Caenorhabditis elegans: one gene and its partner. The protein of the gene in region 1 interacts with the protein of each later gene in a pairwise test. Each region holds a gene or a part of one and is shown in the gene's direction. Other genes may lie near its edges. The genes, in order: cpna-1 and unc-96.

Region 1 (5,129 bases):
AATCTAAAAAGTAATCAAGATATAATCTTTCAAAGTGGATTAATGCCAATTGATTGACGAAAATTTGGAAATTTTTCCTAATTTATTTTTCCAGTTTGAAGAGTTTAAAGCATAACTTCAGATATTTTCTGAAACGGTGAAAATTTACTTTTTTTCCTAGGTTTTGTCCAGATCTCTAGGAAGGTATACAAAATTCTGAAAGCAACATTTTTTTGCTCAAGATTTTTAAAAACTTTCTCTCGAATTTCGTAACTTTTTAATAACTTTTGTTAGAGAAAAATTTTCATTTTTATAAACTATATTTTTAGCTATATTTAAAATAGTGCACGTATTTTTTTCAAATTGAAATATTTTCATTTCCCATATCAATTCGGCTAGATGTGAAAGTATTTTTGAAAAATAGTTTTTTGTTTTGAAATTTCAACTTTAATATGATGAACTTTTTCTGTTAGAAAGTTTTCTGAACTATTTGAAAAATTAAAAAAAACCGTCCCAGAAAATATTTTTTAGTACAAACCAACATTAGTTTTGCTATGTTCTTAAAAGGGCTGTGAATACACCTTGCCCATGTGGTTTCAGGTTTTCCCATTACGCTTTGATCTACAAAAAATGCGGGAATTTTATGCTCAAAAATGTGACGTCAGCAAGTTCTGAACCTTGCGAACTCAGTTGAGATCTCTGCGTCTCAACTCCCGCATTTTTTGTAGATCTACGTAGATCAAACCGAAATGGGACAACCCACGTAATTGCCATCAAAATTTGGCACAATGTTCTCATTGCGAACGGTAGCTTTTAGGTTAGGATAACAATGATTTTTGGGATTTGTAAGATTTCAGGACTTTCGTCTGAAACATTTTCCCAATTTTCCTGCCAAGGGAAACTCCCAAAAGTTTTCTACAATTTTTGCAAATATTCTATTTTTTTCAACTACTGGAACACCGCCGTTCCGCATGTTTTTGGCGCTCAACAAATGTTGTTTTTTTCTTCCCTCAATATTTTCCATTTAATATCTTCCTCATTTTGTGTATCCCTTTCAACTACTACCACTCCACCCAAATCACAGAGAGTTGGTTGACAGCAAAAGAGTTCATGGCTTTTCACTGTTGTTTTGCCTCTTCTCTTCTTCACAAGTTTTGCCATCGCAGAGCCGCCAGCTTTCTGCCTCATCGTCGCGACTTGAGAGCCATTTTTTCCGTGTCCCCCGTCCCGTCCCTCAACTGCATTACATTGTAGAAGGGGACGGAAGCTGGTAACTTGAGCAAGGCTTTTCAAGTATAAAATGCAGAAAAAAATGACAAAAAGAGTTCTTTGTGCTGAAGAAAAGAGCACAAATTTTGAAGGTTTTGAATGATCAAAAGATCTTCGTCTTTTTTTTGGAATTTTGTTGAAAAATTGTTTGAATATTCATAATTTTTGTATTAATTGGCTCCAAGTAGGAAGCTTTAAAATTGGAAAAATTGGAACAAGTTGATTTTCAAAAATTTCGCTATTTTTTCACTGATTATTTTTAGGGCAGACACAAATTGATCTAGAGCTCATGTCCAGAAAAGAGGCATAGGCAGGCAAGTAGGCAGGCAGGCCACAAAAAAGCGTACTAGCCTATTGAAAAAAGCTTTTTCCAAAATTTTGAATCTTTATACCATTTTTTTGAGAAAGTTTCAGAACTTCTCATAACAAAATTCGGAAGTTTTGGGTTTTTGTGTCTAAAAAAGTAACATTTCAGATTTTGGTACTCTTTTAAGATTTTTAAAAAGTCTTCAAAAATTTCCAAATTTCTGAAATTCTCCAGTTTCTTTTTTATCTATTTGATCATCTAACTTCCATCAGCTGCTTCTAAACTATCAAAAATTTGTATTGTTTTAATTTTTGATCACCTTTATCCATTAGCTCAATTTCTCCATTTCCAGGCGAGTCGGTATGGTATTCGACGCGCGTCTCGGGTACGACCCGGACGAGTGGGAGGAATGCCCGGAGCCGGAGCATTTTCTCGTGTTCTCCGGCTTCACCCGCTACATGCTCACGTTTGCCGCCATAGCCTTCGTCTACTACTTCTTCAAACTTCTCGATGACAAGAATAAGAAGGAGTCAGGCGAGAAGGAAGAGCCACAAACTTCGGTAGAAAGCGTCCTGGCCAAGGCCGGTGACAAGCTTCATGATGTGAAAGAACAAGTGGTAGGTGTTGAGAATAGATCTTGAAAAAAAAGGAATTTCAGCAGCAACACATCCCAGAAAGCGCTGAAGAGCTGATGCGTGAAGCCGACCAATATCTGAAAGAACAAGCTCACTCAGTTCAAAATAACGTCCATCAGTTCGCTGAGCAGGCTGCAAATAAGTTCCCGAGCTTGGAGGTGGATTTGAATTTAGGGTAAGTGTGAGAACAAGAATCACATTTTCGGCATTAGGGAGCAGGTATGGAATAGGCAGGCCTGAAGTAGTTAGGTAGGCATGAACTAGGCAGGCAAACATAAGTCAAGCGTAGGCACGTAGTTAGACATGTTGGCAAGCAGGAATATGATAGGCACGTATATTCATTAGAAATGCACGTAGGCAGAGACACCTGGGTCAGGTATAGGCACGTTGCACATAGGGAGGCATGCATGAAAATGGCACGTAGGCAGGCAGGTATGGAGTAGGCATAGCTGCAACGCAGAAGTGTGGAAAGCCCGAAATAGGTATCACATAGGCATGTCAAAAATCTCAGATTTTCAGCCACCCCATCGACGCCACCAGAGAGAAGTTCGACACCGTGCTCTCTTCCGTCAACAATCACCTCCACGAGACAAAGAACATGGACCTGTCTCCAACATCCCGCGATTCCACCCAATTCGAGCAAATTCCATCTATTGCACCGGAAGAATCCGCATTCGGGCACGACTTTGAGCATGTTCCACCTCATCTCAAAACAGCTGCCGAGCAATATTATGCTCAGCAACACCAACCACCTCCGGTACCCCAACACAAAATCGTTCAACCGGTTCCGATATCTCCGACTGACCAGCAGCTGCTTCACGAGTTTGATATCTACGATGCTCCAGCTCATCAGCGGATGAATCAGATCTCCGAGCAACTTGGACAGCTTGGACAGAAGACCCCAGCTCAACTTCAACAGCTTCAACATGCTCAGTTAGCTCATCAGCAACTGCAACAGCAGGGAGTCTTCCAGCCAATCCAGCAACCATCACCACTGCAAATCCAGACACATCCACAGCAACCATACTTTGATTTCTCCCAACTGTCCCCAGCATCTCAAGCCCGTTACAACCAGCAGCAGTTCGTGGACATTTCTCAGCTGTCTCCCGGGGCTGGAGCTCTGATCGCTGAGCAACAAGCTTCAGGAGCATTCCAACCAGTAACAAAGAAGCTGGGAAGGGAGAAGCGGCTCAGTGAGCAGTGAGTTTTTTTTAATCTTAGTTTGGGTTTTCAATTTACAAAGAGCAAATTCAATTTCCAGAGACGAGCGAGCCCTTCAGGACTGGGAAAAGGAGAAGGCCCTTCTCGAAGCTGACCGTCTGAAGAAGCTTTTGGATCATGAAGTTGGAGGTGATTCGACAGACTTGGATTCGTCTCAAAAAGCCTATGATCACTTTGCACCAGCTTCTCACATCTCCTACGAGAGCCATAGTGGAGCAGCACAGATTCAGTAAGTTTTAGGCTATTTTTATGGTTCAAATTTTAGTGAAAGTTCAAAAAATGAGCAAAGCATTTGGAAATTTTTCAAAAAAAAGTGAATGCCTAAAACACAGTTTCGTAGTTAGGTAGGCAGGCAGGTAGGTAGGTAGCCTTGAAGGCGTGCCTGCCTATAAGAGTATTGTTCAAGTTTGCAACAATGTTGGGAACTTTTCCGAGATATTTATACGACCTGTTAGGCATGCTAGGCCTGCTCTGATTTGCCTACCTGCATTGAAGGCTACCTACGCCTACCAAGTGCCTACACATGCGCCTAGTTCCAAATTAGATTTAGATTCTTTTTTTACATTTCGTGGTTAATAAAATTGATAAAATTGTGTTAAAACTACACTGAGCGAGAATGAGCTGAAGGTTGGTATGAAGGCCTAGGTAAGCTGGTAGGTGAGCAGGCAGGCAGGCACGCTCAAATAAGTACCTACTATGCATTTTACCAAGCTAATTTTTCAAATTTTTAGACCAATGACACCAACTGCTCCAAAACGAGCTGACGTCCCTGCACCACAAGTCACTTCGATTACCAAGTACGTTACTTTTTCAGAAAAATATTTTTTATTTATAATAACTTCCTATATACACAAAAAACACTGAGGTCAATATTCATTAAAAGTATCTGTACTTGATCCTAAACTGTTCTCCTCTTCGACCAGCTTCGTTCGTTTTGTCGAGTTCTTCGAGTAGCTCTGTCCTCGAGACTTGAGCGTACTATCAGCTTGCCAAGCTCGATATCGCTTGTAGAGGAAAATGAGCAGTAAAATTGTTCCCTGAGACCCTAAGACTATGGTGAAGGTGTAGTGCCAGAAGGTGGTGTATGGGGAGTAGAGGGTTCCGAATTGAAGGATCCATGGAAGACCTAGTGAGATTTGCATTACAACTATGGATACTATCTTCGTGATCACATTTGGATCGTAGTGGTGACCCTGGAAATTTTATTTCAGACTTATTAGATTTCCTTGCAAGAACTTACCCCTTGACTAAATTTCCTTTTCATTCCACAAAAAACTTTGTAGATCATGAAACTAGTGCATACTACCGTACTCAGTAAAAGTACAGTTACTGGAATGATAATTGCAGCCACTATGTAGTCGGGTCGTACCCAGCAGAAGCAGTCCTGGCGGTCGAAGAATTTTGTGAAGACTAGCAGAAATATTGAAAGAATAAAGGGGAGAGCTGTAATATTTAGGGGGTTGTTTAGAATTTTCGGGCAAAAAAATTATCATACCTACTGACGTGATGAGAACTGGCACTGTTCCAAAACATATGTTAAGCAGCCTGTAGGCTGGAGTTGGCAGGAAAACGAGGATATTTCGAAGAGCTTGGAAAATTGTGAGAAATAGAGAGCTGAAAAGAATATTATTGATTAGAATTGTGAGAATGGTTGTGGCGTAGCCGTGACGCTACCATGACACATAGAACTACCGGTATGACGCTAGAAGGGCCCGAAG
Region 2 (4,849 bases), on another chromosome or scaffold:
ACAAAAATCAAGTCAAGATTATAGGGAGCTTTTAAGTGACTACGTAAGAAACCATTTGAAGTGAAAAATGAAGGCGAGTCCAGAATAAATCTGACGGGAGAAAGTGTTGATGCTTTCAAATTATTGATCTTTCGAGGGATCTGGCAAAAATTTAGTTGCGCGCCAGATTAAAATCAAAAATTAAGCTATAGTGGTTTTTTCAAGTATAATGTTGATTTTGTGTTTTTTTTCCTGGTTTCGAAAGCACTTTGGCAATTTTCCAAGAAGTTTGAATGATTAAGAAAAATCTAAAATTGTTGATCAACTTTATCATAAGTATTTCAGTCAACACAGATTTTTTTCCAGAAATTTTGAGAGTTATCTTTGATTCCGGAAATGACGGTCTTTTCCTCACTGCTTTTATATTGCCATTTTTTGTACGAGCCACTGTTGCTTTGATTATCTTTCGATTAATTCTGATTCAGGTTTACTTTTTTGATAATTCAAATTTTCAGAGCTACCTGGCGTTAAATGTCACCCTTTTTCCCTTTTTTCAAGAGAAAATTAGTTTTGTTTGTTTCAAGAAACGTTATTGACAATAAATCTTAGGAGTTATCTTAATCTAAAAACTGGGAAAAAAGTAAAACGAATTCAGTCTACAGAATTGAAGTACAGTAAATGATTTTTTTCATCAGCTAGAACATTTTAGAAGCCCTTTTAGATTTCAGGTTAAGCTATCTCCCAAGCATGTAGCCGCAACTGAGATTCTGCAGTTGTTCTAGAAGATTTTCACATCCCCCATACGGCTATTATTTGTCTGAAATTACCGTTTCAAATTTCAGCGGCCTGATCAAGCCTGATTAGATTCATATAATTGTAAAACAAACTGCAATACTTTAACTTGAAAAAATCAGTAACCCGATGGCAGCACCATTTTTCACAAACTGAAACACGAGGACGCCGGCCCGATTTGTGGGGGGGGGGGGGGGGGGGGGTTTGAGAAAAATCATCGAATCGCAGCTAGTGCTCTTTTGCCGAGGGACAAGGAAGAGAGAAAGAGAGGAGATACGCCCGTTGGCTTTACACAGGTTTTGTGTTGAGATCGTCAAGAAGACGGGAGGTAGTCGGGAGGGGGGGGGCGAGAGTGCAGTGATCAGAGAGGCGCAGTCGTTCCCGGCTCTCTGAGCACGCACACTTTTCTCCTCTATTCACGGGAAGACCTCTCAACATTCACCCCACTCTTTTATCTTTTGTATTCGGATTTTTGTTTTTTTTTGTTGGTGCTTTAATTAATTTATTTTTCGATTTTGTTAACTTTTTTATTTTGCTCTGCTAAGTATGTTTAATTTCTCTAAATCTTCAAAACTTACATGTATATATTTGAAAACATGCATCAAATTCTAATTGAAAAAGCCTCCAACCAACTATTGCGAAATACTTTTGTTTTTTATATTGTGGGCCAAAAACACTGATACCCCTATAAAAACATTACCTGTATCCCGAAAAAAACTTGAAACTCTCGCGCGACATTGACATTCCAATCAAAAAGGCGGTGAGCAAATCCCCTGAGCACCACTCAATTTCTCAAACAGAAAAGTTTCTGTCTCATACATTCTTGCCAACTTTTTCATCTTTTTCTACTCATCCCTGAGCTGTTACTTTCCAGAAGACTTGGATAATGAGTGAAACTGAAGATGTGAATCTCAACCTGGATCCGGAGAAACCCAAAGTTCGATCAGTTGTGAGATCAGACAGCGGATTGGAAAATGAGATTCCTGTAAGAAGAGAAGGGTGGTGTGAAAAACGAGAAATATATATATATATGTATATGCTTTGAAAGTTTTGAGTTTTTTGAGAGTTTAGGCAGCATTTTACATTTTATCGGTTTGCACCCAGTCCGTACATTTTTCGAAAAGCTTTAGCCTATTTTTGAAGATAGTTGAAAATTTTGAAATTGTTTCTCTTCAGTTGGGATTTTTGAATGTCAAATACTTTGATTTAAAGTCTAAGGGAATACAAAAAAGTATGAACTGGAAAATAGTTTTTCAAAAGTCAATACCTCCCTTTCATATGAACTGAGAATCTTTGATCACATTTTACAAGAGCATAATATAGAATGTAGTGTATGTCTAGACAATTTTTCTGTGATGCCGAAAAAAATATAGAGGATTAAAATAGACAAAAAATGTAGACTATGATCACAAAACGCTCATCTTATTAAATATACTCAATGTTTCTTAAAACAAACAAGTAGTTTGGGATCTGGATAGATTAGGATATCAATTGATTAATTCGCAGTACGAGATTTAAAAAAAACTGTTTATGCAGTTTTGTAAAAAAAAAAGACTAATAACGTCAACAAAAATTATATTGGATGCAACTCTCAAAAATTAATTTGAAATTGGTAAATCTTCACGCTTTAGTTTATGACAGAATTAGAAATTCTAGTAATTGCATAAATCCGAATACTCTCCATTTTCCAGAAAATTTCCGGAACCTCATCAGCATTAATAGAAGAGGGGTTATCTCTGCTCAACCTCAAATCTTCTTTGAGCCCAAATGTTGCTCCAGTTGCCGTAGATTTGTTGGATAGAACGTGCCCAAGTCCAGATTACGGGCTGACGTCAGAGAGGTTAGTGAACTTTTTTCTTTCAAGTAGTGAGCTCCCATTATATTTCAAAAGTTTACGATACCGTGTATAAAAGATATTTTGATTGTTTTTTCCTCCACGGGTTTAAGCTTCGGCTGAGGCTTTCACTCATCAATTTGGTTTTATTAATGCATATTTATCTTGAAAAATGGTTTTAGCTACTTTTATCTATTGCTTGAAGTGAATTTCATCTGCGTGTGAATTTTCAACTACTTTTAAATAAATTTTCGCTGAATTATGGTTCTGCAACCTATAATACTATGTTAGCAAATGTAACTCAAAAAGTACCTAACAAGAACAAAAACAAGATTGTAAGAGTTATCAAAAATGACCGAGAGCAAGATTTCTGCCAGATGTGTAACTGAGTGAGATATGTGTACGGCGGAAACAACACATTACACAATGACCCGCAGAGTTTGATTAGATTTGTTAATGTTTTGGTTTTGAACGCGGTGAAAAAGAGATCAACTAGGACTTGTCAAAATCCAAAGTAATCATATTTTAAATGTTTATTTTTTTATCAAAAGAACAAATCGGTGTAATTTGACACCTTTAGCAAGAATTATCACTGAAATCGTGACGAGAGCTAAAAAAACTAGATGCGTCTTCAGGCTACAGTAGCAAATTGTTGACAGTGAAAATTATAAGTATTGTTTTTTGATTCCTAGTTTATTCTTTTTTTTTAAATTTTAACCTTTATAAAAATATTAAAGATTTCCACTTCTCAGTTACCTCAACTGTGATTTTTGCCGTGAAGCAAAGATGATTGAAAAATACCGTTAGAATCTTGTATTTTTGACCAACTTTTCTACGCAGTGGTAACACCATAATGATGATCGTAACTATCGCAATAAAAATGTTCCCACTTCTACCATAATCATTAGTCCTTCTTTTCACATGTTTTTGAACATGTTAGCAGTGTTGACTTTAAATTAATTTTTCTCCGGGCTGTCATGTACCTACTGGATACAGGGAGGATATGTCTGAAAACTTAATTTGGACTATTCCAAGAACACTATAAGTGACTGTAACTGCTAAATACAATTTATTGAACTTCCACAGCTTGATATTACTGATAGTAAAACATTTACTCATGACAATTATATTAGGTGTTCAAGGACTAATTATAGAGCTTGTAAAATTTGAAAAAAATCGGTTGCCAAATTGGGAATTTTTAAAAATTTTCTTGTATGTAGTGTTTCAGTCTGTGACATTTTTTTAGAGAAAATTCTATTATAATTTGTGTATATCAATGGAAAATTTTGGAAGTAGATGTTTATTGGTTTCATTCACAACGGAACAAGATGATTTTTTCTCGTAAATGGCATGACTCGGAATAAACTTTCTAGTGTTAAAAATGATAGAAAAAATCTTAGATTTTTTAGAAAAATGCAATTCTAACCAATTGTTATGAACGCACGTGCATTCATTCGAAAAAAATAACGTGGGAGGCTCCAAAGTCTAAAAGACCGCTGATAAATTTAACTGTAAACTGCTGAAATATACAAAAAAAAAAGTGAAAACAAGCAAATTATTAAGGTAACCTTTCTAATAGTTTTTAAAGAAATCGTTAAGCTCATAGAAATGTATTTCTATAATTGCGCCTCATCATGTATGTATTACTTTTCAATGTTTGATAGAGTCATTAATAATTTGAAAAATATTGTTTTTCCCCAAATGTTTGAAATAATGTACAAAATAATGTTTTCATGTGATGCTTTAAACACATAGTTGGTTTTAAGTAAAAAAACAAGCCTAAGAAAATTAGTTTAAGTTAAACAATCACATGCGAAACTTAAAAAAACTGCTCGTTTCAGAAATTTAAAAATGAAAAACTCAGAAGCAGAACTGTTTTTTTCGCTTCTTATCTGCGCTATTCCAGCATTCACGTGGTGTCAGAGTATCTCATTTTGGTTTGATCTACATAGATCTACAAAAAAATGCGGGAGTTGAGACGCAAGGTTCTCAACTGATTTCGCATGGTAAAGAATGTGCTGACGTCACATTTTTTGGGCGAAAAAATTTTCGCATTTTTGTAGATCAAACCGTGAAAGAACATCCTGACACCACGTGAACATTTAAAAAGCCTTTGTTTTTGCGTGACAATTGTTCTTACGGTTTTCAGTTTAGTGAGATTCGGACGTAGTCTGAACTTATTACTTAATAATTTATTATTTTTGTATCACAGTTTGAGTCTTTTCAAATACTTTCCTCATTCAC

What was found.
Region 2: the proteins of cpna-1 (region 1) and unc-96 interact in a two-hybrid assay, tested with the Caenorhabditis elegans proteins (one study listed by BioGRID).

The regions. Positions count from the first base shown.
Region 1 is NC_003280.10:4,184,759-4,189,887, forward strand, and holds the start of cpna-1 (Copine family protein 1), read left to right. Parts: upstream 1-1,917; coding exon 1,918-2,172; intron 2,173-2,213; coding exon 2,214-2,365; intron 2,366-2,709; coding exon 2,710-3,390; intron 3,391-3,451; coding exon 3,452-3,640; intron 3,641-4,142; coding exon 4,143-4,208; intron 4,209-4,217; exon of another isoform or gene 4,218-4,277; coding exon of another isoform or gene 4,278-4,604; intron 4,605-4,651; coding exon of another isoform or gene 4,652-4,854; intron 4,855-4,906; coding exon of another isoform or gene 4,907-5,025; intron 5,026-5,129. Other genes in the region: mth-2 (GPS domain-containing protein), read right to left, coding at 4,278-4,604, 4,652-4,854, 4,907-5,025. UniProt on the Caenorhabditis elegans protein: Involved in the assembly of dense bodies and M lines during body wall muscle development.
Region 2 is NC_003284.9:618,087-622,935, reverse strand, and holds the start of unc-96 (CRE-UNC-96 protein), read left to right. Parts: upstream 1-1,645; 5' UTR 1,646-1,657; coding exon 1,658-1,756; intron 1,757-2,462; coding exon 2,463-2,611; intron 2,612-4,849.